4 linked regions of the Pelodiscus sinensis genome follow. The protein of the gene in region 1 purifies or fractionates together with the protein of each later gene. This does not show direct contact. Links are inferred from orthologs where the notes say so. Each region holds a gene or a part of one and is shown in the gene's direction. Other genes may lie near its edges. The genes, in order: YAP1, RPS28, PALS1 and NF2.

Region 1 (7,633 bases):
ATACATAAAACTATATGCTCATAACCAAAAATTACTCAGCATTTTTGTTAACAGTTTTCATATCTGTGAATTGGTATTGGTTTCACATGAGCTTCAGAGATTTACATTATTGTTTTCTTAGGTTTAGATAAAACATTCAAAAACGCTTCTAGGTACCTTTGTCATATTTTCCATATTATGTTACCATCAACATAATAAAAAAAGAATAAATTCAATGGTCTCCTCAAAATCCACAAATGGAGGGATGGGGGAGAAATGTAATTCAAGTTACAGGCCTTACCACAAGTCTTCATTTTCAAAAGTTTAGGAAAAGAAGTTGGCTTTGCAGCATATTCTGGAGGTCAACAATATGGGTTATTTCAGCCTGGGGGGAGGAGATGAATTCCAAAATCCAGGCCTACATGGAGAAAAGCCTGCCTAAAAACAGGTTCAATTTCTGAGTTGATTTAAGGTGGTTTTATGTAGCGTGCATATGGGAAACTCATCTTGAGGTGATAAAGGTATGGATCATACTTGCAAAGTCTGCATCCAAAAGAAATAGTAGCAATGTCTTAGCCAGACATAGATGAAAGAAAGCTGTCTTGGTCACTGTTGCTATATGATCATCTAACAGCAGCTGAGAATCTAACATAATGCCCCTTCTGAAAACTGGTGTAACAAATGGTAGACATGCACCCTTAATTAAAGAGGCAAACATAATCCTCACTATATATTTTGGCTGAATGCTTATTCTTAAAGCATGATTTCCTTTTCATCTGGACAGAGGTTCAGCCAATTAGCCCAATCTCTACCAAAAATTGGCTGGATCAGATAAAATAGAGATATAGAGCTTGGAATCATTAGTATAATGAAAACACTGTGTCGTCCCATGCCTTCTTGCTAACCCTTCTAACGGCTCCATATGGATATTGAACAAAAACATTATAATGATAACTTGGTAACACTACTGTCAGTGATGAAACTATGTAATTACAGAAAGCACTGTGATAAATTGGTACTCAATATGTTCCAAAACTACTTTTCAATTTTTAATCTTCTGACTTTTCTAGACTTCTGACTTTTTTAGACTTTTCTAAACTAATTCTAGATTTTAGGAATCATTACACCTGTGTATATGTATTTTAACACAGATTTTGGCAGTCCAGAGAAAGTGGGGGAGGGAAATACTTGAATTTTTGTAGTAATTGTATGTTTCTGAACTCAGAATAGTTTAAGAAGTTTACATGATTTGCATATAACCAAATTTCAGCATGAGGAAACCTGAAATATTTGATATTAAATAAAGACATTTCTTGAATGCTAACTCAGACTTAATTACAGCAGTGTTAATTGGCACCACAAGCACAAGCTTATTTGCTAACTCTTAAAATATATTGATAAATTGTTACACATGTTTTGGAGATATGGTCAATAGTATCATTATATATCGTAGGTCACACATATACTATCTAAAATCATCACCAGATTATCTCAATTTTTTTCAAAGACAGCAGTTAAAATGATCCAGTTCTAGCATCACTAAGTCAACTGAGTGTCTCACAAACACCACGGCTACGTCTACACTGGTCCCTTCTTCGGAAGGGGCATGCTAATTTTGAACTTGGGAATACGGAAATCCGCAGGGGGATTTAAATATCCCCCGCGGGATTTAAATAAACGTGGCCGCCGCTTTTTTTCCAGCTTGGGGAAAAGCCGGAAAAAAGCGTCTAGACTGGCGATCCTCCGGAATAAAGCCCTTTTCCGGAGGATCTCTTATTCCTACTTCAAAGTACTTTGAAGTAGGAATAAGAGATCCTCCGGAAAAGGGCTTTATTCCGGAGGATCGCGCCAGTCTAGACGCTTTTTTCCGGCTTTTCCCCAAGCCGGGAAAAAAGCGTCGGCGATGTTTATTTAAATCCCGCGGGGGATATTTAAATCCCCCTGCGGATTTCCCTATTCCCAAGTTCAAAATTAGCATGCCCCTTCCGAAGAAGGGACCAGTGTAGACGTAGCCAACCTGTTTAAACTTAGAACTGCAGATAGAACTGATGCTATTCTTAATTTGTGTATAAGCATCCAAATATTATGGTGGTGAAGCACTGAAATATACAGATAGTACTACTCTTATCTAAAACCAGATAAATGAAAAAACAAAACAAAATACATCTAAGTGAACTAAAATGACTTTAAAAGGCATTCATAACACAGTGTGAAAACTCTGCCTGATTTAGATTAGATTGTATTTCCTAGTTCCGGTGTTTTGAACAATATTACATAATTTTTTAATCCAGTAAACTTTGGATGGCCTGCTGTAGCCTTTAGGTCAAAACTTTAATTGAAGTCTGTTTTGCCTGAGCAAGGACTGCCATTAGTCTTTTTAAAAACATTCTGAAATCAAATCTGATTCACAAACATAGCCTGATATTTATCTTGAGTCTTAAAACTATAGATATTACTTTCATTAACATGCAGTAGTTCTTGGTATGTAAATACAGAGAAAGTTATTTTTGAATATGTAAATATTGGAGATGGTGATCAGATGCCTAAATGAATTCTGACTGGAAAACAGTCAATATGGCTGTGTCTAGACTACAGGGTTTTTTTTGAAAAAAGTGGCCTTTTTTCTAAAAAACTTCATCTGCATCTAGACTGGCGCCACATTCTTTCTAAATTAAATTGAAAGGACGCGGTGGTTTTTTCAACAGCAGTAAACCTCTTTTTAGGAGGAAGAATACCTTTTTTTGAAAGAGCTCTTTTGAAAAAAGGCGTTCTTGACCGCAAATAGGGCTTTTTCGAAAGAGAGCATGTGCCTGTCTAGATGATCACTTTTGAAAGAAGCTTTTTCAAAAGATTCTTTAGAAAAAGCTTCTTTTGAAAGAAGCACGCAGTCTAGATATACCCTAAAAGAAAATATTTATGGCCCTGCTGAAGTTAACACAAGATTTGCCATTGACTTCAGTGGCTGTATGATCAAATCCTTATTCTTTAATCATTTGTAATATAGTCTCTAATTATGCAAACACTTATGTAAATTAATCTTTACATATTAAACAGAACTACTGAATTATATAAAGTTATTTACCTGTACAAATGTTTGCAAGATTCGTGCCTTAAAATGGCCATCTATTCTAATATTAACTCCATATTGTCTGCAAAATTATCACAATGCATTTTGTAGATATTAACTGATCATAAGAGTAATTGAATATAAGAATTCATAATGTTCAAATAGGCTGTTTAATATTAAATGATTGTAGTATATATATAGTTTGTTGTTAATACTAGAATTTTCCTCTCCTCAGGATGATGATGGTATGTGCTATCCTTCAACCAATAGCCATGAACAGACATTTGCCTACTTGATTGTGGATCCCCTGAAACGACATATTCATGTATTGTACCATTCTTTTGGTGGAGGCTTATTTTTTAAGTGACTATTCTTAATCTCCAGTTCTATATATTAGTGGTATAATGGAATGGAGGAGCTCTTCTTTCTGTATGGAATCAATTAACACTTTCATAGTTCCATTCCCTTCAATGAAATATACATTGCCTGCCTACACAAAAATGTGACCTACAATATACATTTAACATAGTTTTTTTGAATTATTATCAAGGGATGTTTTATGTTCACAAATTATAATTACATATAAAATGTTTTTAAAAGCTTTGTTACATTGATTTTAAATTGTAAGATTCAGATCCTGCAAACCCTAATGCTTGTACATACTTTTACTTAGCCCCTTAGAAGTCAATGAAACTAATTGTGCATAAATCTAGGATTGGGGCCATAGTGAGTGCATCATATTATCTGAATGCGGCTTGCAGTAACTTGCATAGAACTCAAAAGGATCCATTAATCTTGCTTTCCCCACCCCCACATTGTTACCTGTTGTGTTTCAAAATCCTCAAACATTAAAACTGTTATTCTCCATCTTTTTTCAAAAATGTTAACATTTTATTTTATATAATTAGTTAATAAATAATAGTTGTGTTATAGGCTTACAGGTATGTATTAAGCAGCATGTTGAATCAACCTCGAGTGGGTGTATAGTAAGTTAAATTGACTGAATTGTTTCCATTGGACTCTATATCAGAAAGGTGATCAATCCCCATAGTAAGCTCTGACTAGAGAAAAATCTGTTTTGAATGTAACTGTATAATTTACCCTACCAGAAACGCCACTTTAGTCGTTAAAATTAGTCTCCATAGTGGTACTTGGAGGGTGCGGTTAGGTTCCCTTGTGAGAAGGAGGGTTTCAGCTCTCCCCACCCCCTATGGAGACCAGAGATCCAATTTCTTTCTTCTCCGATTCCCCCTCCCCACCTCTATCTAATTCCGTGGATAGAATGGGAAGCAGTGAGAAGCCACGTTTCTCCCGCCCGCATTCAGGGGAGGAGGCCCTCGCCTCTCCCTCCCTCTCCCGGGGGCCATGGCTGGGAAAAGTCTCCGCCGACCCCCTCCCCGTTCTGGGGATAAAGCGTCTTTCTCCCTCCCCATTCCAGCGCGGAGGTCGCGGGGGGAGGGGCGCAGCAGGAGGCTGGAAGTTTGGAGGAATTTATTTTAAACTTTTCGATGCATGGACTTCAGCATTGAAGGGCAGCGTGGCGGGCGGGAGTAGAGGATTAAAAAATGAGGCGGGCGGTTGCGAAAGGGCTGGCTCTCCGGGATGTTGCGCGAGAGGAAGTTTGCTCGCGACTTGGTGGCGGCCGCTGACTGCCAGATTCTATGCGGACGGGCGCATAAAGAACTGCCAGTGATAGTGGTACCCGGCTGTGACTGGATTCTGAGCGGGCGGGCGCAGTAGGACTAAAAGTTGGCTGCAGGAAACGGTGCGGGCGGGCTCCGCGAGGGGCGGAGCTGGCTGGGAGTGATTCGGGCGGGCACATCTCAGAACTTTTGTTTAGCGAGTTGTGCGAGTTAGTTTCCGCCGCCGGGACAGAGGGGTGGGCCGGGCTCCGGGAAGTTGCTGCTAGGTCGGGCTTGTTTTGCCCGTTGGTGCTGCTGGGCGTGGGGGGCAGAGCAGCAGAAGGAGCACCGGCAGGGCAATAGGGTATGTGGGGTGGAGAGCCCGGGATCTGAGTCGCTGAGCCCCGGTACGGACGCGGAGTCATGGATCCCGGGCAGCCTCAGCAAGCGCAGCCTTCAGCGCAGCAGCAAGCGCCGCAGCCGCCAGGAGCCCAGTCTGGCGCGGGGCAGCCCCCGGGCGCGGGGCCTCCTCCGGCCGGGCACCAGATCGTGCATGTGCGGGGCGACTCGGAGACCGATCTGGAGGCGCTTTTCAACGCGGTGATGAACCCCAAAGGCGCCAACGTGCCGCACACGCTGCCCATGCGGCTCCGCAAGCTGCCCGACTCCTTCTTCAAGCCGCCCGAGCCCAAGGCCCACTCCCGCCAGGTGAGGGGGGGACTCTCCCGCCTCTCGTGGGTGGGGGCGGGGCGCGCCGGGGCGTGTGTGTTGGGGGGGATATCGGAGAGCGTCCCCTTCAGTCGCCCCTTCTCCTCCTCCTGTGTGTGTGGGGCGGGGAACGCCCTCCTCCTCCTGTGTGCGGGGAGGGGGTGGTCTGTCCTTCGGCCCCCGTCGTGTGTGGGATCTCTTCAGCCCCCACTCGTGGGGAGGAGTGAGCGCCCCCTCATGGGTGGGGGCAGGGCCCCCTTGCACTCGGGGTTTGCCGGGGAGCTCGCCCCTTGGAGTCTTGTGGGGCAGCTCCCTTGCCCTTTTATGACGGGGGTGCTCGCTTCTTTGTGCCTATTTTTGGGACCCTTCGGGATTTTACTTTGGAAACTTTACATTTAGTTCGGCGCAGGAGTTACCAGTCTCAGCAGCTGATTTTTGCACTCACATTAGGCCCTGTCTCCGCCAGGGGCTCTCACTCCCCAGCTACCTTACTTGGGAGCCCAATAATTGCACTCTTGTTTCCCAGCGTGTGGGGAGGGGGGGGGGGGGAGAGAATTAACGGCCCTAAAATTATTCCTAAAAATGTTTCACTCGAAAAAACAAAAGGATTTGGTTCTCTAATGTAATAGTCAAATAGTTTGTTTATTTGCGTGGAGAGGGAGTGAGGAATTGTTGCCAAACTTAAAAAAAAAAAACAATCTGGATGTGGTTTTTCCACCATTTCATTATTGGACTCCATAGGATTGAATTTCCCACAGCAGAAACTAATTCTAGTGCCCATGGGTTTTTCTGTCCCTGGTCGTAGGCCTTTCACTTTGCTGAAGTATCAGTAAATTAACCATATCTGCAAATTGAATTGAAATAATTTAGCTGCTGCAGTCCTGTAATCTGAACACTCACGCTTTGTCTACATTGGCACGATCTTGCGCCAAAGCAGCCACTTTTATGCAAAAACATGCTGCCTGTCTACACTGGCGGGGAGTTCTTGCGCAAGAACACTGAACGTTCTAATGTGTGAAATCCGTGCTTCTTGTGCAAGAACTATGATGCTCCCGCTCAGGAATAAGCCCTCTTGTGCAACTGTTCTTGCGCAAGACACCAGTGTAGATAGGCAACATGAATTTCTTGCTCAAGAAAGCCCGGAGCTTTCTTGCACAAGAGAGCGTCTACACTGGCAAGGATGCTCTTGCGCAAAAGCACATCTCTTGTGCAAAGGCACATGCCAGTGTAGACGCTCTCTTGCGCAACTACTTTAATGCAAGAACCCTTGCGTTAAAGAGTATTTGCACAAGATTGCGCCGATGTAGACACAGCCCCAGGGTACAATCCTGCAAGTTTTTAGTACAAGATGAAAAAGATCTGCAGGATTGGCCCCATTATAAGTCCGTAGCAGAGTCTGTTCTTTAAGGAATTTGACTCTGCCAAGACGAAAATGCTGATACAGATATGACTAAAAGTTAATGTTTAGGCTGCTGTTACTAAATTTCTGTAAACTGCCTCTCGTATGTTTTTGCTAAGCAATGAATTTAGCTGATAAGTTATAAAGTAAGATATTATAAGATGGTGTCACTTTATCTAGATAGTCAAAAAAGAGATGTGCTGTGTATTTCACAGGTATCTGGTATTCCTGTAGTTAAGGGCCTGTCAATATTTCCATTATTAAACTCAGATTTGGCAGGATTTATAACTGTTGTAAAACATTTACTCAAAGCTAAACTTTGGCATATATCCTCTCAGCCTAGGAGTTAATTCATTTTCCAAAATTTTTAAAGGACTGCAAAGAAAATACAAAAGCCTTCGAGATGGGTTATTTCTATATTCTTGTAACTTGTCAGAAATACGAATTATTGGTGGTGATTTGCATAGGGTTTGTCCCATTTAGAATTGGTGGTAATAGTGCATGTGAACTCTGAGATCTGAGGAAAAGCACAGTTCTTAGAAATATTTTTACTATACACGTTTTTATCATGCTGTTTTATGCACAAAGGTAAACTTCTGTGTATTCAGCAATAATTTTCAGATAGATGTATATTGTTGAGTATATATTAAGGCCACCGTAAATGCAGCTCAGCATATTACATATTTGAATTGTGTTATATGAAGTACACCTTGTTAATACTTACCTGTATAACATACACTTTTAAAGCTTGGGTGTGGTGCATTTCAAATGTTGTTAGAGCATACAGTGTAACTAAAATCTTGATGCTGTCTGGTTTTAGTACAATATATTTCAATAAATCATGGAGTTAAATAAAAC
Region 2 (6,851 bases), on another chromosome or scaffold:
TTATTCACCCTCTCCACACCACTCATGATTTTATATACCTCTATCATATCCCCCCTAAGTCTCCTCTTTTCTAAACTGAAAAGTCCCAGTCGCTTTAACCTCTCTTCATATGGGACCCATTCCAAACCCCTAATCATTTTAGTTGCCCTTTTCTGAATCCTTTCTAAGGCCAAATATCTTTTTTGAGGTGAGGAGACCACATCTGTACACAGTATTCAAGATGTGGCCGTACCATAGTTTTATACAGGGGCAGTAAGATATTCCGTGTCTTATTTTCTATCCCTTTCTTAATAATTCCTAACATCCCATTTGCCTTTTTGACTGCCGCTGCACACTGTGTGGAAGTTTTCAGAGAACTGTCCACGATAACTCCAAGATCTCTTTCCTGATTTGTCGTAGCCAAATTAGCCCCCATCATACTGTATATATAGTTGGGGTTATTTTTTCCAACATGCATTTACACTTATCCACATTAAATTTCATGTGCCATTTTGTTGCCCAATCACTCAGTTTGGTGAGATCTTTTTGAAGTTCTTCACAGTCTGCTTCTGTCTTCACTATCTTAAACAGTTTAGTATCATCCGCAAACTTTACCACCTCACTGCTTATCCCTTTCTCCAGATCATTTATGAATAAGTTGAACAGGATTGATCCCAGGACTGACCCTTGGGGGAACACCACTAGTTACCCCTCAGCATTCTGAAAATTTACCATTTATTCCTACCCTTTGTTTCCTATATTTTAACCAGTTCTCAATCCATGAAAGGACCTTCCCCTCTTATCCCATGACAATGTAATTTACACAAGAGCCTTTGCTGAGGGACCTTGTCAAAGGCTTTCTGAAAATCTAAGTACAAGCAGTCCCCGAGTTACACGGATCCGACTTATGTCGGATCCGCAGTTACGAATGGGACTTTTCTCGCCCCGGAGGATGGGAGCGTCGGGATGCCCAGATGCGCCGCGGTCCGCTGCCCCCGTCCTCCGGGGCGAGAAAAGCTGCTCCCCGTCTCCCTGGTCTGCAGGGAGATGGGGATCAAAGCCTTGGAGCACGCCCGCAGCGGGACTGCCCAGGCGCGCGCTTGAGCTGTCCCCCTGCGGGTGTGCTCCAAGGCTTTGCTCCCCGTCTCCCTGTAGACCAGGGAGACGGGGAGCAAAGCCTTGGAGCACGCCAGCAGCGGGACAGCCGCGGCGCGCCTGGACTGTCCCGCTGCCCGCGTGCTCTGCGGCTTTGCTCCGCGTCTCCCAGGTCAGCAGTCCAGGGAGACGGAGCAAAGCCGTGGAGGACTTGGGCGGTCCCGCCACCCCCGTCTCTCTGGTCTGCTGGGGGGGTGGGTGCAGCTAGTGCCCCCCCCCTCCAGCAAACCAGGCTTTTCTTGCCTGCCCCTGGGGTAGAGCAGCTGGGGGCTGCCGGGTTGGTCCTGCAGCGCCGCTCCGGACCAACCCGGCAGCACTCCAGCTGCTCTGCCCCAGGCGTCCTGATTCAGCCGCTGCTGGTCAGTTTCAGCAGCGGCTGAATCAGGACGCCTGGGGCAAAGCAACTAGGGTGCTGCTGGGTTGCTCCAGTAGCGCCGAGGAGCCGCTCTACTGGAGCAACCCAGCAGCACCCCAGCTGCTCTGCCCCAGGCGCCCCCAAGTCAGCCGCTGCTGAAACTGACAAGCGGCTGACTACAGGAAGCCCTGTTTCTTAAGTTGAATCTGTATGTAAGTCAGAACTGGCATCCAGATTCAGCCGCGGTTGAAATTGATTAGTTTCAGCAGCGGCTGACGCCAATTCCGACTTAAGATTCAACTTAAGAACAAACCTACAGTCCCTATCTTGTACGTAACCCGGGGACTGACTGTATACTACAGCTACTGGATCCCCGTTGCCTGCATGTTTGTTAACCTCTTCAAAGAACTCTAATAGAGTAGTAAGACATGATTTCCCTTTACAGAAACCATGTTGATTTTTGTCCAACAAATTATGTTCTTCTACGTGCCTGACAATTTTATTCTTTACTATTATTTCAACTAATTTGCCCGATACTGAAGTTACACTTACCGGTCTGTAATTGCCAGGATCACCCATAGAGCCCTTTTTAAATATTGGTGTCATGTTGGCTACCTTCCAGTCATTAGGTACGGAAGCTGATTCAAAGGATAGGTTACAAACCACAGATAATAGTTCAGCAATTTCCCATTTGAGTTCTTTTAGAACCCTTGAATGAATGCCATCCGGTCCCGGTGATTTGTTAACTTTAAGTTTTTCTATCTGTTCCAATACTTCCTCTAATGACACTTCAATCCAGGACAGCTCCTCAGATTCATCACCCTCAAAGAACGGTGCAGATTTGGGAATCTCCCTAACATTCTCAGCTGTGAAGACTGAAGCAAAGAAATCATTTACTTTCTCTGCAATGGCTTTATTGTCCTTGATTGCTCTTTTTATATCTCGATCATCTGGTTTTTTTAGCAGGCTTCCTGCTTCTAATGTACTTAAAAACATTTTGCTATTTCTTTTTGAGTTTTTGGCTAGCTGTTCCTCAAAATATTTTTTTGCTTTTCTTCTTACATTTTTACACTTGATTTAACAGTGTTTATGTTCCTTTCTATTTATCTCACTAGGATTGGACTTCCACTTCTTGAAGGATACCTTTTTGTCCCTCACTGCTTCTTTTACATGGTGGTTAAGCCACAGTGACTCTTTTTTAGGTCTCTTGCTATTTTTTTTTTTAATTTGGGGTATACATTTAAGTTGGGCCTCTATTATGGTGTCTTTAAAAAGTTTCCATGCAGCTTTCAGGGATTTGGCTCTAGTCACTGTGCCTTTTAATTTCTGTTTAACTAACCTCCTCATTTTTGTGTAATTCCCTTTTTTGAAATTAAATGCCAAAGTGCTGGACTGTTGAGGTGTTCTTCCCACCACAGGACTGTTAAATGTTATTATATTATGGTCACTATTCCCAAGCGGTCCTGTAACGGTTATCTCCTGGACCTAGACCTGATCCTGAACTCCACTCACAAATAAATGGAGAATTGCCTCTCCCCTTGTGGGCTCCTGAACCAGCTGCTCCAAGAAGCAGTCATTTAAGCCATTGAGAAATTTTATCTCTGCTTCTCTTCCTGAGGTGACATGTATCTAGTCAATATGAGGATAACAAAATCCCTCATTATTATAGAGTTCTTTATTTTGGTATGACACTGGTATGCATGTATCAGCTCCCGCCTGCTCTCCCACTGCGCTGCTGCCTCTATGGGAGGCAGCAGGGCTAGAGGGGCTCCAAGGTAGCCAGCACAAGCAGACTGATAGAGAGGCAGCTAAGAAGGAGGTGGGGGTGCATGTAACCCAATAAACCCAAGTGTATGGGTTCATTGTGTAACTGGGCATTCACCAATACCCCTAGTGCACATAAAAATAATTGTTCTGCAGCTGGATGGAAAAGATGAGGGGGAGCACTGGTGAAGACTCTTTCCTCAGTCTGTGTCCCTGGGGGGGTCCCCCCTCTTTGCGGTGGGGGGACTGCAGGGCCCGGGGCTCTCCACAGCACACGCCCCGAGAGCCCCCCCCCGCCGTACCTGCTGGCGATCTCTGTGTAGCGAAGCTGGAGCTTGGTCTGGAGGTCCCGCTGCAAGAGAAGGGGAGCGAGTCTCAGTCTGGGGCGGGGAGAAGGGCCCGGGGCGGGCAGGGAGCCCGGGCCGGCCCGCGGGACAGGGACGCGCCAGCCCCGCCTGCCTTACCCCGGCCGCCCAGTTGCGGAGCCGCTGGATGAGGCGGGTAGCAGACGCCATCTTGGTCGCTACGAAGGGCAAGCGGAGGATGCGCGCGCGGGGCCTGCCGGGAAAGAGCGACGCAGGGCACGCGGAGTCTCGCGAGATCTGGGGTTATATAAAGCCGCGAGGGGCTGCACCCCGCTCCCTCGATACGCGACAGCCGCCATGGACACGAGTCGCGTGCAGCCCATCAAGCTGGCCCGGGTGCGCGGGGCGGGGGCCGGGCCGGCGGGGGCGGGGGCGGGGGCGGAGGGGCCGGGCCGTACCGTACCTGGCTGACGCGTCTCTCTCCCTGCAGGTGACCAAGGTGCTGGGCCGGACGGGCTCGCAGGGCCAGTGCACCCAGGTGAGCGAGGGCCCCCTGCCCCCCCCCCCCCCCCCCCGAGCCGGCCCGTGTCGGCCGCACTCGGGCCGGCGTCCAGCGGCGGGGAGTTCCGTAGCGCCCCGCGCCGCCCCACTAAGCCGCCTTGGGGCCCATGTTCCCAGGTGGGGGAGGTAAAAGGGCCCCTACGGGCCGGACCCGGCCCCTGCCGCCAACCGGCCTGTGGGTGGGGAGCGCGCGGTCTGCCTAGTCCACTGCCCGCGTTGACTCTTCGCAGGGCACCCCCTTACACCGCGGGGGGGCAGGGAGCGAGGGATTTCCCTGCTCCCCCACCCCCAGGCCTTGATTGATGGGGGGGGAGGGGGAGAGACACAAGAAGTCTCCCACCACAAAGGGTCCGCCTGGAGGGAACTGCCAGCTCTTCAGAACAGCTGGTGGTTTGGGGGGGGGGGGCAGAGACGTCACATGCTTCCCCCCCCCCCCCAGCCTAATAGGGTTCTGTGGGTGGGGAAGCACAGAAGTGTCCTGGCCCTGCCTCTTGCACCTGTGGCACCAGGAATTTTTGAAGTGCGTGGCCCCCCCCATGTAAAATTATTGCCCACCCCTTTTCTACACCCTTGTCCTGCCCCTCCTGCGTCATCCAGCTTGTCCAAGCCTGTGGGGCAGCAGGAATATGAGTACGCAGAGCACGTCTATTGAGTCTCCGCTGTGCCTGGTAGGTTCGTGTTGAATTCATGGACGACACCAGCAGATCCATCATTCGGAATGTGAAGGGGCCTGTCCGCGAAGGGGATGTCCTGACACTGCTGGAGTCTGAGCGTGAAGCAAGGCGACTGCGCTGATCTGCACAGCATGGTAACTCATTTAGTTTTCAGCCCGTCCTCAAGCCCTTGTTGAAGCTTCTCTTGAAATACATTAAACCCCCAGCCAGGAACATTTTTTTTTCTTTAAAATGGGCTTCTGGGTAAGACACCCGTCTGAGCCAAAAGTACATGTCTGGGTTTTGAGACTCCTCTGTAGAGTTCCCAGGGCTGTTTGCTTTGAGGCCATAAGAATTTTAACACTGAGTATTTGATTCTTGTGCTTTCTTTTGAAAATGGGGGGAAAAAAATTGTTCTAGAGTAGAGATGTGAAAGGATAATTGGTATCCATCACCCTTAACATAACCGAGTGGTGCTTATTAGGGATGTTAAATATCAGTTAATTGAATAGTTGAGTAACCTCATGAATTCTTATTAGTTACTTGACTATCCTGTAGTCCCAGGGGGTGAGGCCTGCATCCAGTGTGTAGCCCACTCTTGAGGAGCCCCCTGACACTCCGCACTGCTGCCTCTGTATCCAAGGTAGCAGTGTGGGATGCCAGGCAGGAGTTGGTCCATGAGAGGAGTCAGTTTAAAAACCAGATCCCCTTGCAGACCAGCTGCCTGTTACTCCATGCAGCAGTGTGGGGTGGCAGCAGCTCCTGCCTGGGCGCAGTCTGAGCTCCTGGACTTGGCATGAGCTAGGCTGCCTGCCTGGCTCCTAATACACTTTAAATGCAGAGCCACAGCAGGAATAGGGCCTGAACTCATTGCAAGGCAGGACTGAACCAGGCTGCTAGTCTGCCTGCTAAAAAAAATTGGGGGGGGGGGGAGGGGGATATGTGTAGTTTTATAGCTTTAATTTAAAAGCTTTTGTTTATTGGTTAATCAACTATGCTATTACATCCCAAAATTGCTTACCAGTTCCATTTAAATTGTGGGGGCTGGAACAGTCCCCTGCCTGCCTAAGGCAAGGGGCTGCTCCAATGCTACAGGGGGCATGCTGTAGACGGGCTGCTCTGGCAACTGTAGGGCGTGGTGTACTCATTGTTTTACTGCAGATGTCTTTCCAGACATTTTGGTGGTGTTGCACCAGATTAAACCTTAAATATAACTGTGACTGTTCATGGTTGGGGGCAGCACTCTGGCCATGATTACTGTGTTCGAACTCAACTGTGAAGAATTGAGTTAGCAGTTGACATGTGACCATGACTGGTCTTTCTACACTAACTGCAAAATCCATAAAAAAAATTATGGTTGTTGCTTGTCAATTCATGAAGAACCAAGTTCATTGAATTTCCATTCAAATACAGTAACTTTTTATAATATAGACCATGTGAGTGTGATGGTTGCCCCTCTTTGCACACCTCAGAGGACGGAGCTAGTAGTTTTTAGGGATGTGAAAATGTAACCATGTACACCAGGGCTACTCAACATGCAGCCCATGGCCTGCAGTGCAGTTTGGGTTTACACAGGGCTCAACACACGGCCTGCCAGTGGGATCCTTTGAATGTGGCTGTCACTGGGAACACACTCCACAACAGCGAGTAGATATAATGGTCTTCTATTAAGCATTTTAGTAGTTTCTGGACCGTTGTTACTCGTTAAAAGTGCTATCATGGGTGGAAATTGGGTAAATACTGCATTTTATTAATATCAGCAGAACTGACTTAAATAGGGCCTTCATGTTGTGTAGTCTTGCCTTAATCTTTGTATTCATGCCTATCAATGTAAGAAAAGGTATTTGCATGTGTATATAACCACACTTAAGTTGCGGCCCTTTGCATATGCTGTATCATTGTGGTCTCCAGGGCTTCCAAAGTTAAGTAGCCCTGATGCACAAGGTTAACCAGTGAACCTGGGCTCATGGGTTAACATGCACGGTTACACAGGCAGCAGCAAAGGGTGGTAGCTGGGAGCAACCTAACCACTGCAGCTTTTGCTCCAAGTTGCTCTGCAGCCTTTTTGTGTGGTCATAG
Region 3 (7,985 bases), on another chromosome or scaffold:
CTTACCTAAGCAGCTCTCAACCAGCAGCACTCTCAAGCAGGCTTCCCTGCCTATCAGCAGCCCCCAGATGGCTGTTCCATGTGGCTCTCCTTGCTGGGGGATTTTTTGGCCCATAGGAACTGAGAGATTTTGCTGGGGGCTGGAGCAGTGTGGGAATCCTCCCCCGCTGCTCCTGCAGCACAGAGAACCACAGGGAGCAGCTAGCCTCTTTGTGGGGGCACTGCTCTGACCTACAGGAGTGAGTGGGATGGATGGGCCTGATTAAAAGACTTGGGAGGCCAGATCGGGCCTGCAGGCTGTATCTTGCCCCCACTCTAGGGGCTGACTTGCCTATGGTCAACTTACTTAAACAAATAGTGTTGCTAACATTGCATCCTGCGGTGAGGTATTCATGAAGAGGACATCTTCAATTGCTGAAGGTGAAAACTTTTCAATTTTTTGGATAATTTAATGAAGTACGTCTCTGCCAAGAATCTTATGAATGTGCTGCACGCTGGATAAGGCTAACATTAATGCTTTCTTAGGGTTATGGATCAAAGCTGAGATCCAGAAGGAGCAGCGTGGTTACCAAAGAAACAAACAGGTCTTCCACTAGATATCTGGAGACTTACATATCTCAGAATTAACATGGTCTGCTAATCCATACAGGCAGAGAATCAAAACACTTATAAGGCTACGTCTACACTGGCCCCTTTTCCGGAAGGGGCATGTAAATTTCATGAGTCGTAGTAGGGAAATGCGCGGGGGATTTAAATATCCCCCGCGGCATTTAAATAAAAATGTCCGTCGCTTTTTTCCGGCTTTTAAAAAAGCCGGAAAAGAGCGTCTACACTGGCCCCGATCCTCTGGAAAAAGTGCCCTTTTCCGGAGGATCTTATTCCTACTTCAACGTAGGAATAAGAGCCTCTGGAAAAGGGCACTTTTTCCGGAGGATCGGGGCCAGTGTAGACACTCTTTTCCGGCTTTTTTAAAAGCCGGAAAAAAGCGACGGACATTTTTATTTAAATGCCGCGGGGGATATTTAAATCCCCCGCGCATTTCCCTACTACCACTCATGAAATTTACATGCCCCTTCCGGAAAAGGGGCCAGTGTAGACGTAGCCTTAGATATAATTATAGGAAGAGAAAAGACAAAAACAAAGTTGGAGGCTGGTGTACACATTTGACTGCTTAGTGAAAAGCTGTGTACTATACACTCACTGAACCTGCTCTTGGACAGCATCAAGAAGAAGATGCCTGCCATCTAGAAGAACTACACAGACAGAAGGCTGAACTTCTGCATATTTGTGGGCTCATAGGACCTCCCTGTGTAAATCTTGGATACAAAAGACAGTGATCAAGCTGGATGACTCTGATTTAAGGGAGGATGGAGTCTCTGCATCCAGTAAGCAGTGTTTTATTGCTAAACGTAGACAGTTAGCCATTGTGCAACTTTCATGCAAGCATCTGGGTTTAAGAAAGTAATTTGTGGATTCTTACAATAGCTGCCAGTAGTGCTTGTAAAAATGTGGATCTAGATCATAAAAGGCCAGCAGAAACGTCCACCTCTTTTCCTACTCTGCCATAACTGGTCACCCTCAGTCTGCTACTCCCCCTGTCTGTAAAGAATGCAGAGTAGTTCTGCAGTCAGCCTGAATTTGGATTCCATTATTCTCCAAATGCCTTCCCTTTCCCCTTCATTTGATACTCGCACTCCTGCTACTAATCAAAGTGAAAATGCTTGGTTTGGTGTGCAGCTATAACATATGGCAGAACAAAAAATGGAACACAAACTGGTAGAGCATAGCCTTAAAGGCACTCAAAATCTACAATGTAAAAAGGCTAGAAACTAGAGCTTATTAATCCTTCTGTGGAAAGGTGCACACGCTGTTTGGCAGGGTCCATATTAATGGAGGATTAGCTGGCCAGTTTATATGCCAAGAAACGAAAAAGAGGTTTGAATCTGAAGACACACTGGAGTATATAGGTTTCAGAAAAAAAACATACATGGAAAATATGGACAGAATGTGTAAGTATAGGCAAGAGACTAAAAAGTGGCTGGACATCTATATGAAAAATTACACAAAGCATTCAGTGAACATGCAGCAAAGGAGAAAAGATTTAAAGGGGCAGGTGTCTGCTGATTTTTTTTTTTTTTGGTGGTCCAAGAAACATTTGCTGACATTACTGTGTCCTGAGCCACCCTCTACCTTGGTACCTCCTATCTAATCACTATCCTAACTCTCAAGATATGAAGATTATAAGATAATGTGCCCCTTCTGTCCCAAATCTTATTTAGACACTCATCTCTTTATTGAGAGTGGAAAAGGGAAACAGTCCAATACATTAGTTAATAGAGGAAAAATGAGGAGTGTTAAATTAGCAAAGAGTAAAGGGCTACGTCTAGACTGGCATGATTTTCCGCAAATGCTTTTAACGGAAAAGTTTTCAGTTAAAAGCCTTTTCGGAAAAGCGCGTTTAGATTGGCAGGATGCTTTTCCGCAAAAGCACTTTTTGGCCACGGATGCTTTTCTGCAATCTAGATGCACTTTTGCGCAAAAAAGCCCCGATCGCCATTTTCGCGATCGGGACTTTTTTGCAGAAAACAAATCTCTGCTGTCTACACTGGCCCTTTTGCGCAAAAGTTTTTCAGAAAAAGACTTTTGCGCGAACGGGAGCAGCATAGTATTTCCGCAAAAACACTGACAATCTTACATGAGATCGTCAGTGCTTTTGCGGAAGTTCAAGTGGCCAGTGTAGACAGCTGGCAAGTTTTTCCGGAAAAGTGGCCAGTCTAGACACAGCCAAGCTGTTTAGTTTTGCCAGTATAACTGTGTCTATACTAAGTACTCTTGCCAGCACAGGCATGCCCATCACAAATCACAGCTCATCAGAGATTGTAGTGTAGAGCTAGCTTACACTTTCTTACATAAAACTGGGATGGGGGATAGGAGAAGAATGTGTTGGTTTTGCTTTTACTTGAAAGCTAGTAGTTTTTGTTAAGTTTAGAAATTGAATAAGGAAAAGTTATTTACTTGCTCCAATAACATAAGAACTAGGGGTCACCGAATGAAATTAATAGGTAACAAGTTTAAACAAACAAAGGAAGTATTTCTTGATGCAGCATACAACCTGTGGAAATCCTTGCCAGAGGATGTTGAGAAGGACTTTAGCACAGTTCAAATAAGAATTAGATAAATTCATGGAGGATACGTCTATTAATACTTATTAGCCAGGATGGGTAGGAATGATGTCTAACACTGTTGGTCAGAGGCTGGAAATGGGTAACAGGAGATCGATCACTTGAAGAGTCCCTGTTCTGTTCAGTCCCAATTTGTACCTGATATTGGCCACTGTTGGAAGACAGAACACTGGGCTAGATGGATCTTTAGTCTGACCCTGTATGGCTGTTCTTAATACATGTTAAACTGAACACATGGGCTGTGTCTAGACTGGCCAGTTTTTCCGGAAAATCAGCTGCTTTTCCGGAAAAACTTGCCAGCTGTCTACACTGGCCGCTTGAATTTCCGCAAAAGCACTGACAGCTCAGCTTTGTTTTCCGCAAAAAAGCCCCGATCGCAAAAATGGCGATCAGGGCTTTTTTGCGCAAAAGTGCGTCTAGATTGGCACGGATGCTTTTCCGCAAAAAAAGCACTTTTTGCGGAAAAGTGTCCGTGCCAATCTAGATGCTCTTTTCCACAAATGCTTTTAACGGAAAACTTTTCCGTTAAAAGCGTTTGCGGAAAATTATGCCAGTCTAGACGTAGCCATGGATTTAACCCTGTGGACTGATTTGACTATGTGGCTCAGTTGCTGCCTGGATCCCTTTTATGATATCTACAAAGAACAGTCCCTGCAGGGAACATGGTCTTCTGACTGAAAATACATTGATCGTGATATATCTTCCCTTTTTTTTCAAATATTTTAATATAAATATTAAAACAAATAATTGAAGCCCAAGCACTCACCCAGTGTCCTTTTGGCCTGGGATTGCTGCACATAGCCAAACTGCAGTCTTGTCTTCACTTGTTAAGTAGTCTCTTAGATAATCTAGTCTCAATAGGTTACCATAGCATAAGTGACCCATCTCTATCTCTTTGTCACTTGTTTCTGGCTGTAGCAAACTGTCTCTCAGTCCATTCTTCTTCCTCTCTATGAGGTTGGCCACTGGATGGTTCTCTCTGATCCACAGGGATCTGAGTGTTGCCTCTACTGGCTCATGACTGTCTCCTGCACTTGTCCCTCTTGCATAACCTGGGTGCCATTGCATCTCTTCCAACTTCACTAGTCCCTTCCTTCTGGGGTTTCTCTATTAGCTGGATTCTAACGGTAGTGCCTGTCTGCAAAACTGGTACGTCCTCACTGGCCTATAATCTGGTGCCTCCTTTCTCTGACTAATGGTCATCTCCTCTTGAGAGTATCCCCTTCCTTCTGGCTGCCAAAGTGCTCGACTAACTGGTGTCGGAACTTTTATTTATTTATTTATTTATTTATTGGTCTTTGTCCCGTCAGGGCTTGGGCTGGGCTGGTTGGCGACCACGCTGGGGTATAACTGTGGGTGTTAGCTAACCAGCGGCTCCGGTCCCACAGACAGCCTTGCGCAGGAGTCTCTCACAATCATCCGTGAGTCGTAGCTTGTGGCTACTCTGCCCTTCTCACCAGCTCCACTGAACACGACGCAGGCGGCAGCAGAGGCATGACGCAGGGGCACGAAACCCTGCAGCAGGCGCGAGGGACAAAGCAAAGGACAATTCAACCGGCGGCCCGTTGCTGAAGGAGCTGTAGGCCGAAGAGCTACGCACCCCTCCCCGCCCCCGAGCCCCTCCGCAGCGAGCACCAGTCCCTCAGCCGCCTGGGCAGCAAGCGGGCGCGCGCACCCCAAGCGCTCAGCCCCTCCAGCCAATAGAGACGTGCGTCTGCAGAAGGCGGGCGGGGCGCGTGCGTGCGGCCGGCCGTTGGGGTGGGGCCACGGCTGGGGGGGTGGATCGGGCGCTGCCGTGAGGTGTTTGTCTCCTGGTATGTGGCTGGGGCGGCTGCGCAGCTCCGCGGGGTGAGCGAGACGGGGCTGTCTCCGGTGTCTCCGGGCTGGGCGCGAGGGGTGTAGAACAAGGCGCTGCTGGGCGCGTCCGTGCGGAGCGGCGGCAGCAGGAGTAGGCAGGTGAGTCCGCCCCCCACTTTGTGATCGACTCCCCCTGGGGGGGGTGGTAGGGGCGTTGGGTTCCGGGGGGAGCTCTGGTCCCAGCCCCCGCTGCTGCTGCTGCGCCTCGGGATTTCCCAGGACGGGAGGCGGGCGCGGGGCGGATTTTGCTCCCCCCCTTCCTCGTGAACTTTGGTAGGGTCCCAGCGGAGCTGCGGAGTGACCCGTGTCTGTGCAGTCGGGGGGGGGGGGGGGTGCGTGTATCTGGGGGGGCCTTGCCGTTTGCGTATCCGCCACCTTCCCTGTACGCACTAGGGGCCCGATCGTGCAGCGTTTGCCAACATAAGGCTTGCTCGCCGGTGCAACCATTGCAAGTTTCAGCCTTTAAAGGTGCGTTAATAAGGCTCCCCGTGTTGAGTGTTGTCTTTTACTTTCTGAATGTATTTATTTTAATAATGGTCTGTACGTACTTCATCATCTGTTGGGCAAGCCAGCGTTTGGAAATCTTACTGTGAAGAGATTGCTCGGTAGAGATTTATGGGGCTTTGCAGGATTAAATTAAAGTGGCTTGGCAACCAACACATTCAAGGTTGCCCAGTAGGCATTGATCAAACTATTGACTAAATATCAGTGAATTACACTGATGAGACTGTTACGGTAACGTTTCGGATCTCGCTAATCGACGGATCAGAGTAGGAAGTGTACACCTAAGCAACAAGGAAGACAGTTCCTGTCCCAGAGATATTACTTTAGAAAGAGTGGCAAAATACAGCTTGCTGATTTTATTAGAAAGCTGACAGCAAGTAGAAACTCTACCCAAATCAGTCACTTACAAGGTATCCTCACTGTTTTGAATATACAGATGGTTTTTTTGTTTGTTTGTTTACAAAATTACTAAAGCTACATAGCTGAAAGAGATGGGAGTGAAGGATGAAACTGTTCATTTTTGCTTCCTGTTTGTGTGGGTTTCCAGTCAACAAGAGTAATATTTTTTTAAAGGTAGGAAAATCTGGTTATAAAAACAAATGACAGGGATGTGAGAGAAATTGTAATATCCAATTTAATTTTAAAATGAGCCATCAAAATGTAAGTTTCAAAATGTGAGTTACAATAGTTTTGAATTCTGTGATGGAAGCAAATGTTGGATTTCATACCTAATGGTGCCTTTGAAGCAGGGAGACTACTATTGTTTAAAAGCACTAGTTAATGAGCAATTTTATTGTATCTCTAAATATATTTTCTAATTGTTAAACCAGAACCCACTGACAATGTTTTGTTCATGCTTATGTGAATTTTTCAAGTTGTTGCAGAGGCTTAGAACTAAACTAAAATTGCAAGTAAATCCTTAAGTTCTATTAAATGCACAATGAATACTATATAGTTTTTAAATCAAGTGCATTTTTATGATAAATTTAAAAATCAGTTTGTTGAAGGGTCACCAAAGATAACCAAAATCTTTGAGGAAATACTTTGTTAAATGCTCTCAACATTTTTTTATATATTTTTTTTATTTGACCTCTGAAGTAAAAGCATGTGTCCCTTTTTATTGCATTATGTAATGTTCTAGGCAATCTTTTGTTTGGAGCCTAGTAAAGCAATTCTGGAATGATAAGAGTCAGAGTGGTAGTCAAAGATCTTGAATCTGAATGCATTGCAACTGCCTGTTCTTACTGATTTTGATTTTAGGGTATGCCTATTCCACAATGGCACAGCTATGGTGCTGCAGCTTTCCTGTTGTTGAACCATGGTCTGTCGATTGTAGATAGGTTAACAAAAAAATTCTTTTGTTAACCTAGTGGTGTCTACACTGGTGATTATGTCTACTTCTTACATTGAACAGGGCTCAAGTTTTTCATAGCCCTGAGCAGTGTAGCTAGGGCAATTTTTTTGCCTTTGTTACACATTGGAGCTCCTTTGTGAATTTGTCCTGAACTCTGATAAGCAGGTGTGTCTCATACATAGCTGATACAATTGAAAAATCTTTGAATACAAGTGAAATATCTTCCTGAGACACTGTTCTTGTTGGCTGGCTTCTTGAAAAGCATTACATAGTGACTTGGACATGGCAGTCTCCTTCCATTAGGAATGAAAATGCAAAACTGCAATCCTTCATAATTCATTTTTGTACAGTTCTAGTATTTAATGTGTTTCTGGCGATGGTGCTATTTCATCTTGGTTACTCCTGCTTTGGGAACATCAACCAAGGTTTTCAAAAGTGACTAGTAATTTTTCAGTGCCTCAATTGTAGTGTATGCAACTTCAGACACTTTAAAGGTCTGCTTTTTTTCAGAGGGTGGATGTACCACGCTTTCTTAAAATCGGACCTCTTTAAGGGGCATCATGTGGCACACCTGAAATCATGGTGGGTAAATATAAATGGTTTTAAAAATATTTTGATTAAATAATTTAAAAAATGGATTTTTATATTTTTTTACTTTGTTTTCAAATGGAATATTAATTCAATGCAAAATACACCAAGGCTTAAATTATTTCTTAAAACATTTAAATAAAAATGTGTTAAATCCATGAACTGCTGTCAAACTTAGAGATGAAAGCTGTTTTTTCTCTATAAAGAAAGGTGTTTCCCATTATTTAAACTTTTGAGGTCAAGCTTAATAAATATGGCACAGTAGCTCAGCCAAAATAATTTCGGAGATTGTTTCATTGTCAAGAATATTAGGCAATGGGAATATAAATGCTAGTAACTTTCACTTAGGCATACTTAAAAATTTTCCTCGGCTTATATGAAACAATCAGTTTGTTTAGTTTAGAAAAGAGAAGATTGAGGGGGGACATGATAGCAGTTTTCAGATATCTAAAAGGGTGTCATAAGGAGGAGGGAGAAATCTTGGCCTCTGAGGATAGAACA
Region 4 (7,054 bases), on another chromosome or scaffold:
CACGCAGGGTCCCCGCAGCAGGCGCCGCAGCGCCGGGTTCCCGCACACCCGCGTCGCCATCTTCGCGCTGCGGAGCCGCAGCCGGGCGCTGCGCGGGGCGGGCCGGGGGGGCGGGTCCGGGCGGGGACTCCCCTCCCCCCGCGCCCCTTTGCTCCCCCTGCCCGAAGAAGGGGCGCGCGAGGGCGCGATCCCTGCGCGGGGGGCGCAATTCCGTGCGCACCGCGTGCCCAAAGCGCACACGCCTGGGGCCGCAGCTAAGCTTGGACGAGGCAGGGAAGCGTAAAATCTCCCCCTATTTCAGACCCGGGCTGCCCCAGCCTCCGAGCCCAGAGCCCCCGTCCCTCTGCAAGGAGGAACATCCCTTATAGGAGCAGCAGGGTGGGTCTCTTTGGGGGCCCATCTGTGCGCCCTCACGCCTGCCTGGACGCTCCTTGGGGTAGAGACCCAGTTCCATTCTTGGTCCTGTTGGTCTGCAGTCCTGAACTGGGACCTCTTGGTTAATCGCCTTGGCCATGGAGCAGGGCAGCTGAATTTTCGGTTGTGTCATTTCTAGTCTCCCCCCTCCCCGCGAAAACACAATCTATGTGCGGGGAGCACGGAGGAGTTGACCCTACCCATCTCCGGTCACTACATGTGTATACAATATTTGATCTGTATTTATAGTGTGGCTTTTAAAAAAATGGTGTAAGCCACCTCGAATATTTTAAATAATAGCGGCGGGGCAAAAATATTAAAAAGAAATCAGCGTAAATGAAACGAGCACAGAGATGGAAAGGGACGGGAATTCACCCGGCGCTGAAAAGCGTATCCTGGTTCTGCACTCAAATGCCCAGGAAGGTGTGGGGAGAAAAACGCTCTTGGTTAAACATCCAATGAAGACCTCCCCATTGAAAAAAGGCCTCAAATATCTTAAATAAGAAAGGCTGGGCAAAAATATTGAAAAGCTATTGCCATAAATGAAATGGGCGCAGAGATGGAAAGGGACGGGAATTCACCCTGTGCCGAAAAGCGTATCCTGGTTTTGCACTCAAATGCCCAGGAAGCAGCAGGGAGAAAAACACTCTTGGTTAAACATCTACGAATGACCTCCCCATTGAAAAAAGGCCTCGAATATTTTAAATGAGAGAGGCAGGGCAAAAATATTTCAAAGAAATCAGCATAAATTAAATGAGCGCAGAGATGGAAAGGGACGGGAATTCACACGGTGCTGAAAAGCGTATCCTGGTTTTGCACTCAAATGCCCAGGAAGCAGCGGGGAGAAAAGCGCTCTTGGTTAAACATCCAGCAATACTCCCCCCACCCATTGAAAAAAGGCCTTGAATATTTTAAATGAAAGAGGCAGGGAAAAAATATGTAAAGAAATCACCATAAATTAAATGGGCACAGAGATGGAAAGGGAGGGGAAGTCACACAGTGCTGAAAAGCGTATCCTGGTTCTGCACTCAAATGCCCAGGAAGCAGCGGGGAGAAAAACGCTCTTGGTTAAACATCCAATGATGACCTCCCCATTGAAAAAAGGCCTCGAATATTTTAAATGAGAGGCAGGGCAAAATATTGAAAAGAAATCAGCATAAATGAAATGAGCGCAGAGATGGAAAGGGACGGGAATTCACACGGTGCTGAAAAGCGTATCCCAGCTCTGCACTCAAATGCCCACGAAGCAGCGGGGAGAAAAGCGCTCTTGGTTAAATATCCAACAATGACACCCCCCCTTCCGGAAAAAAGGCTTCTAGCTACATTAGGACACCCCTGACTCCCTCTTCCTGCTATTTCTAAGATCTGAAAACAAGGGGAGTTGTTGAAATCCACCGCAAAGGCCCAGACGCAGGAAACCAGACGTTGTCCCCCGTGCGGGTCGCTGCATTGCTAATCCCGTTTGGCAAGGAGGAGGCACGGTTTCCAGTCATTCGGAATATGGATTTTATGGGCCACCCCCACTTCTACAGACGCGCCGGGCAGCCGGCCAGGAGGATGCATTGCTGTCTGCATTCTTCATTTTCAAAGGTCCTCTAAGCCGACAAGTCACCTCCAGCCGGGGCTCCCTTGCTGTGCCGCAGGAGCGGCGTGGGGCGGATTTCGGGGTTACACGGGGAAGGGCCATTTGCGCGCCCTACCTTGCAAGGGTGAGCCAGAAGGAGGCTGACTCTGGGGGGGTGCAGACTGGGTCAGATTTCTAGGGAAGGACAAGTCAGGCTGCAGACAGTTGTTGCCTGGGCCACCTGCCTAGAGTACACTGAGAGGGGGTTCACCCCCCCCAGAGATGGCCATGGGATGGTGTTCCTGGGGGCGGCCCCCCACCAGCTAGATCCCCCCCCCACATAGGTACAATGCCCCAGATCACCTGCCTCCGCTCTGGCTAGGCCAGCGAGGGCAGCCAACTTTCTGTCAGCTGAAAAGGCAACCTGGCCCCGCCCCTTTCCTGAAGCCCCGCCCCTTTCCTGAGGCCCCGCCCCAGTACCTTCTCCAAGGCCCTCCCACACTCACTCCAGCCCCCTCCATTCCTTGCTTGCTTCCCCCCCCCCACTCACTGGTTTTCACCAGCGTGGGCCGGGTTACGGGAGGGGGGAGGGCTTTGGCTGGGGGGGTGTGGGCTGTGGGGTGGGGCTGCAGGAGGGGGCTAGGGCTGAGGGATTTGGCGTGGGGGAGGCGGGCCCCATGGGGGGGTGTTAAACTTATTTCTTAGGGTGTGATCCTTCCTGGTCGTGGGGGGGGGGGGAGGCAGAGGAAACAGCAGCGATTGGCTGGCGAGGGAGGACGACTGGCAGACAGGCAAAGCCCAGGGGGCGCCAAAGCACCGGGGGGGGGGGGCGGATTTCCCTGCCCCCTGTCCCTTGGGTGGGGTCTGGGGGCGCCAGGCCCAAAGCGAAACTGACGCAGATGGGCACGTGCCAGGGCTTGGGTGCTGCAGTGGGGCTCGGGTCCCGCCCCGATGGCTCCAGACCCCGCCCACACAGGTTCAGACCCCGCCCTGACCTCTCCAGGCTCCGCCCTGCTTGCTCCAGGCCCCGCCCAGAGGGATCCTGGCCCCGCCCACACAGGTTCAGACCCCGCCCTGGCCTCTCCAGGCCCCGCCCTGACATCTAAAGCCCCGCCCGGATGGCTCCAGGCCCCACCCTGAGTGTTCCAGGCCCCGCCCTCATGTCTCCAGGCCCCGCCCACACAGGTTCAGACCCCGCCCTGAGTGTTCCAGGGCCCGGCTCAGGCCCCGCCCTGACAGTTCCAGGCCCCGCCCATCGAGCCTGAGTCCGGGAGGCGCTCAGGCCGCCGCGAGGGGGCGCGCGAGCCCGCGTGACGCCTTCCCCGGCCCAGGCCCGCCCCCTCCAGCGGCCTCTCAACCAAGCCTGCTGGGGAGGCGGGGCGCGCGCGGCGGAGTGGCAGCGCCGCCGGCCAATCGGGGAGCGGCTCGCGCCCAGGCCGGCCGGGCGGGGCTGGCGATTGGCCGAGGCGGGCGGGCGGACGGGCGGGGCCCCGCCCCCGGGGGGGGGCGCGGCCAATGGCGGAGCGCGCTGGGGTTCGGCTGCGCCAGCTGAGGCCCGCCGCGCTCGGTGGGCAGGGACCGCGGGGCCCGGTTCTGAGCTCCCCCGCCCCGCCCCCCCGGGCTAGGCCCCCCCCTCGGGCTAGACCCCCCCCCGCGGAGCGCCCGCCCCTCCCCCCGGGCTAGGACCCCCCCAGACCCCCCCGGGCTAGACCCCCCCCGCGGAGCGCCCGCCCCTCCCCCCGGGCTAGGACCCCCCAGCCCCTCCCCCCCTTAGTCCCCCTCCGTCCTAGGCCCCCCGCCCCTCCCCCCACCTCCCCACCCTCCCCCCCGAGCTAGGCCCCCTCTACTCCCCCTACATCCCCCCCACCCTCCTCCCCTCCCCCTCTTAACCCCTCCCCCATAGGCCCCCGCCCTTCCCTTAGCCCCCCCGCCTCTGCCCTCCCCCCCTCCTCCCCTATAACCTCCCGCCCTCCCCATCCCCCCTTTAGCCCCCCCATAGCCCCCTCCCCCGTTCCCACCCCCATCAGGCCCCCCCCTTTCCTCCCCAGGGCTAGACCCCCCCCCGGGATAAGCCCCCTGGGTCAGCCCCTCTGCACTCCCTTCCCACTGCCCCCCCTCTCGGGCTGGGTCTCGCAGGGCTGCCCCCCCCCCACTCCGGCCAGGCCCGCTGCACGCTCGCCCCGCCCCCGTTGGCGAACCGGAGCCACTGGGGGCTGGTAGGGTGCCCCCCCGGGGACCAGACCCAGCTCACCCCGCCCCCCGCCTGCCCCTGGTGCCGGGCCTCGGGCAGCGTGTTGGAGGGGAGAAGTGGGATCTTGCCCTAATTCCCGGCACCCCACCATGGCCGGGGCCATCGCGTCGCGGATGAGTTTCAGCTCCCTGAAGAGAAAGCAGCCGAAAACCTTCACGGTGCGGATCATGACCATGGACGCCGAGATGGAGTTCAACTGCGAGGTAACAGCGTCCGCAGAGCACCACGGCCAGCGCCTCCGGATCGCTGCCGGCGCGGGGTTCCCGGACACCCTGCTGCCCGGCGGGCCGCTTTCGTTCCACTGTGGAGCGATCCCTGAGCCGGCCACGGAGACGCACCCACCCCTGGAGCGGACGGTGGCGGCGGCTGGGTAAAGCGCAGCACGCCACAGCTACACAGTGGGTTGGGACAGGCCCCGAGGACGGATCGGGGGGAAATCAAGGCAGGCCACATGTAGGTAGTTGGAGCCCTCTAAAAGTTGGCCCACTAATGGCTTGCCGCGTATTGGTAAATCAGAGCAAAGTGCTCCCGATAAAATCCACTTTCTGCGCGCTGCTGCATCCCGGCGTCCAGAGATGGGGAGTTGCTAGCCAAAGACACACCCTCTAGAGCAGCGTCTCTCAACTTTTTTTTTTTTATAAAGTACCCCCTTCAAAAAAAAAAAAAATAAGTATCCCCGATACCTCCAGTTTTATAAATAAAATTTAAATCACTGGAGATTGCCTATCTCCTAGAACTGGAAGGGACCTTGAAAGGTCATCGAGTCCAGCCCTCTGCCTTCACAGCAGGACCAAGTACCATCCTTGACAAATATTTGCCCCAAATCCCTAAATGGCCTCTGTGAGGATTGAACTCACAGCCCTGGGTTGAGCAGGCCCATGCTCAAACCACTGAGCGATCCCTAAAAAAAATTTCCGACACACAATTTCAGACAGGTACAGATGTGGTCTCCTCACCTCAAAAAAGATATTTTGGCCTTGGAAAGGGTTCAGAAAAGGGCAACTAAAATGATTCGGGGTTTGGAACGGGTCCCATATGAGGAGAGGTTAAAACGACTGGGACTTTTCAGTTTCGAAAAGAGGAAACTGAGGGGGGATAGGATAGAGGTCTATAAAATCATGAGTGGTGTAGAGAGGGCCGATAAAGAAAAGTTATTTATTAGTTCCCTAAATAGAAGAACTAGAGGACACTAATTGAAATTAATGGGTAGCAGGTTTAAAACTAATAAAAGAAAGTTCTTCACACGGCGTGTAGTCAACCTGTGGAACTCCTCGCCAGAGGAGGCTGTGAAGACTAGGACTATTATTAGAGTTTAAATTGAAGCTAGATAATTTCATGGAGGTTAGGTCCATAAAAGGCTATTAGCCAGGGGATACAATGGTGTCCTTGGCCTCTGTTTGTCAGAGGCTGGAGAGGGATGGCAGGAGACAAATCGCTTGATCATTGTCTTCGGTCCACCCTCTCTGGGGCACCTGGCGCTGGCCACTGTCGGCAGACAGGATACTGGGCTAGAAGGACCTTTGGTCTGACCCAGTACGGACGTTCTTATGTTCTTAATTTTTTTTCTACCGTTGCAACATTTAATCGTCGCCGGGCAGGCGATGAAATTTTTGGATGTCAAATAAGGACACCCATAGTAAAACGCTGTGAAATTGAAAACAACGATTCAGTTTTCTCCAAGTTTCAGCAGCGTAAAAAGTCTACAGAAAAGAAAGCGCTGTAAAACTTAAAACGCAAATTCAGTTTTCTCCAAATTTGAGCAGCGTAAAAAGTCTACAGAAAAGAAAGCGCTGTAAAACTTAAAACGCAAATTCAGTTTTCTCCAAATTTGAGCAGCGTAAAAAGTCTACAGAAAAGAGAGCGCTGTAAAACTTAAAACACAAATTCAGTTTTCTCCGAATTTCAGTAGTGTTGATGTTCCCCTCCCAGACTTCTCTCGAGTACCTCTCAGGATCCTTGTACCACTGGTTGAGAAACATCGATTTAGAGTGTCTCCGGAGACACCAACGTGTTTGTAGCCAGAGATGGAACATCCACGTTTCAGTTTGAATGTTCTTGGATCTACTCCCTGCCACCTGCATCTGTTCCGGGTAGGCAGCTGTGTTCGTAGATGGCGCCACTTTTCAGAGGTCTGCATTGTAACGCCCTCGTTAATCTGCCATGGAAGCAGGAAGGGTTGGGGGGGATCTGGGCCCGCCCACTACTCTGGGTTCAGGTCGAGGGACCAGGGTTTTCCCTGTAGTCCAGTGGTTCCCAAACTTTTTGGCATCACGCCCCTTCCCCCCCCTCCCCAAAATAGCAGTAAAACTTGTTGAGAAAAAAAAAAGGAACTGAGCTGAGGGCGGGGGGTGAAAAACAAAACTTGCAGCAAAACTTGTTGAAAAAGAAAAAAAGATTGCCCTGCCCTTTTAAGAACAGAACAGGCATTGCTCTTTTAAGGTGGCCATTGTGAAATCTGCCCCAGCCAGCCCGAGCTGCATGTGTTCCGGCGGCCAAGCAGACAGACAGACAGACGGACTGGGCTCTTTCTTGAGGGGGAGGGGCAGGAGAGGGGCAGGAGAGGTCTTCGTGGAGGGGCAGGAGAGGTAAAGACGCAGCATCTGAGACAAGGAGTGAGTCGGGACACACCCGGTCCCTTGCTGCATCTCTGCCTTTTAAATGTAGTAAGAGCCAGGCAGGACTTTAAAAGGCAAGGCCCGGAGCTAACCCCACTGTGGCTCTGCAGGTCTCCCCTTATCGATTAATCGAGTAGTCGATGGAAATTCCATCGACTACTCGATTAGTTGATTAAACGGACTTTAACATCCTTAGCTCTGACTAGATTC

What was found.
Region 2: the proteins of YAP1 (region 1) and RPS28 purify together in Homo sapiens (affinity purification with mass spectrometry, with the first as the bait; 3 studies listed by BioGRID). This does not show direct contact. The link is inferred for Pelodiscus sinensis from reciprocal best matches to the Homo sapiens genes YAP1 and RPS28.
Region 3: the proteins of YAP1 (region 1) and PALS1 purify together in Homo sapiens (affinity purification with mass spectrometry; 6 studies listed by BioGRID and IntAct, counting the BioPlex papers as one, with this or other methods). This does not show direct contact. The link is inferred for Pelodiscus sinensis from reciprocal best matches to the Homo sapiens genes YAP1 and PALS1.
Region 4: the proteins of YAP1 (region 1) and NF2 purify together in Homo sapiens (affinity purification with mass spectrometry; 7 studies listed by BioGRID and IntAct, with this or other methods). This does not show direct contact. The link is inferred for Pelodiscus sinensis from reciprocal best matches to the Homo sapiens genes YAP1 and NF2.

The regions. Positions count from the first base shown.
Region 1 is NC_134711.1:304,437,270-304,444,902, forward strand, and holds the start of YAP1 (transcriptional coactivator YAP1), read left to right. Parts: upstream 1-4,632; 5' UTR 4,633-5,091; coding exon 5,092-5,376; intron 5,377-7,633. UniProt on the Homo sapiens protein: Transcriptional regulator with dual roles as a coactivator and corepressor. Critical downstream regulatory target in the Hippo signaling pathway, crucial for organ size control and tumor suppression by restricting proliferation and promoting apoptosis.
Region 2 is NC_134729.1:25,093,911-25,100,761, forward strand, and holds the start of RPS28 (small ribosomal subunit protein eS28), read left to right. Parts: upstream 1-3,843; 5' UTR 3,844-3,915; coding exon 3,916-3,954; intron 3,955-4,048; coding exon 4,049-4,096; intron 4,097-4,791; coding exon 4,792-4,914; 3' UTR 4,915-4,927; intron 4,928-6,851. Other genes in the region: NDUFA7 (NADH dehydrogenase [ubiquinone] 1 alpha subcomplex subunit 7), read right to left, coding at 3,556-3,605, 3,718-3,768. UniProt on the Homo sapiens protein: Component of the small ribosomal subunit. The ribosome is a large ribonucleoprotein complex responsible for the synthesis of proteins in the cell. Part of the small subunit (SSU) processome, first precursor of the small eukaryotic ribosomal subunit.
Region 3 is NC_134714.1:72,830,371-72,838,355, reverse strand, and holds the start of PALS1 (protein PALS1), read left to right. Parts: upstream 1-4,984; 5' UTR 4,985-5,137; intron 5,138-5,387; exon of another isoform or gene 5,388-5,506; intron 5,507-7,406; exon of another isoform or gene 7,407-7,478; intron 7,479-7,985. UniProt on the Homo sapiens protein: Plays a role in tight junction biogenesis and in the establishment of cell polarity in epithelial cells.
Region 4 is NW_027465935.1:549,743-556,796, forward strand, and holds the start of NF2 (merlin), read left to right. Parts: upstream 1-4,040; 5' UTR 4,041-4,318; coding exon 4,319-4,432; intron 4,433-6,158; exon of another isoform or gene 6,159-6,253; coding exon of another isoform or gene 6,254-6,358; intron 6,359-7,054. Other genes in the region: NIPSNAP1 (protein NipSnap homolog 1), read right to left, coding at 1-60. UniProt on the Homo sapiens protein: Probable regulator of the Hippo/SWH (Sav/Wts/Hpo) signaling pathway, a signaling pathway that plays a pivotal role in tumor suppression by restricting proliferation and promoting apoptosis.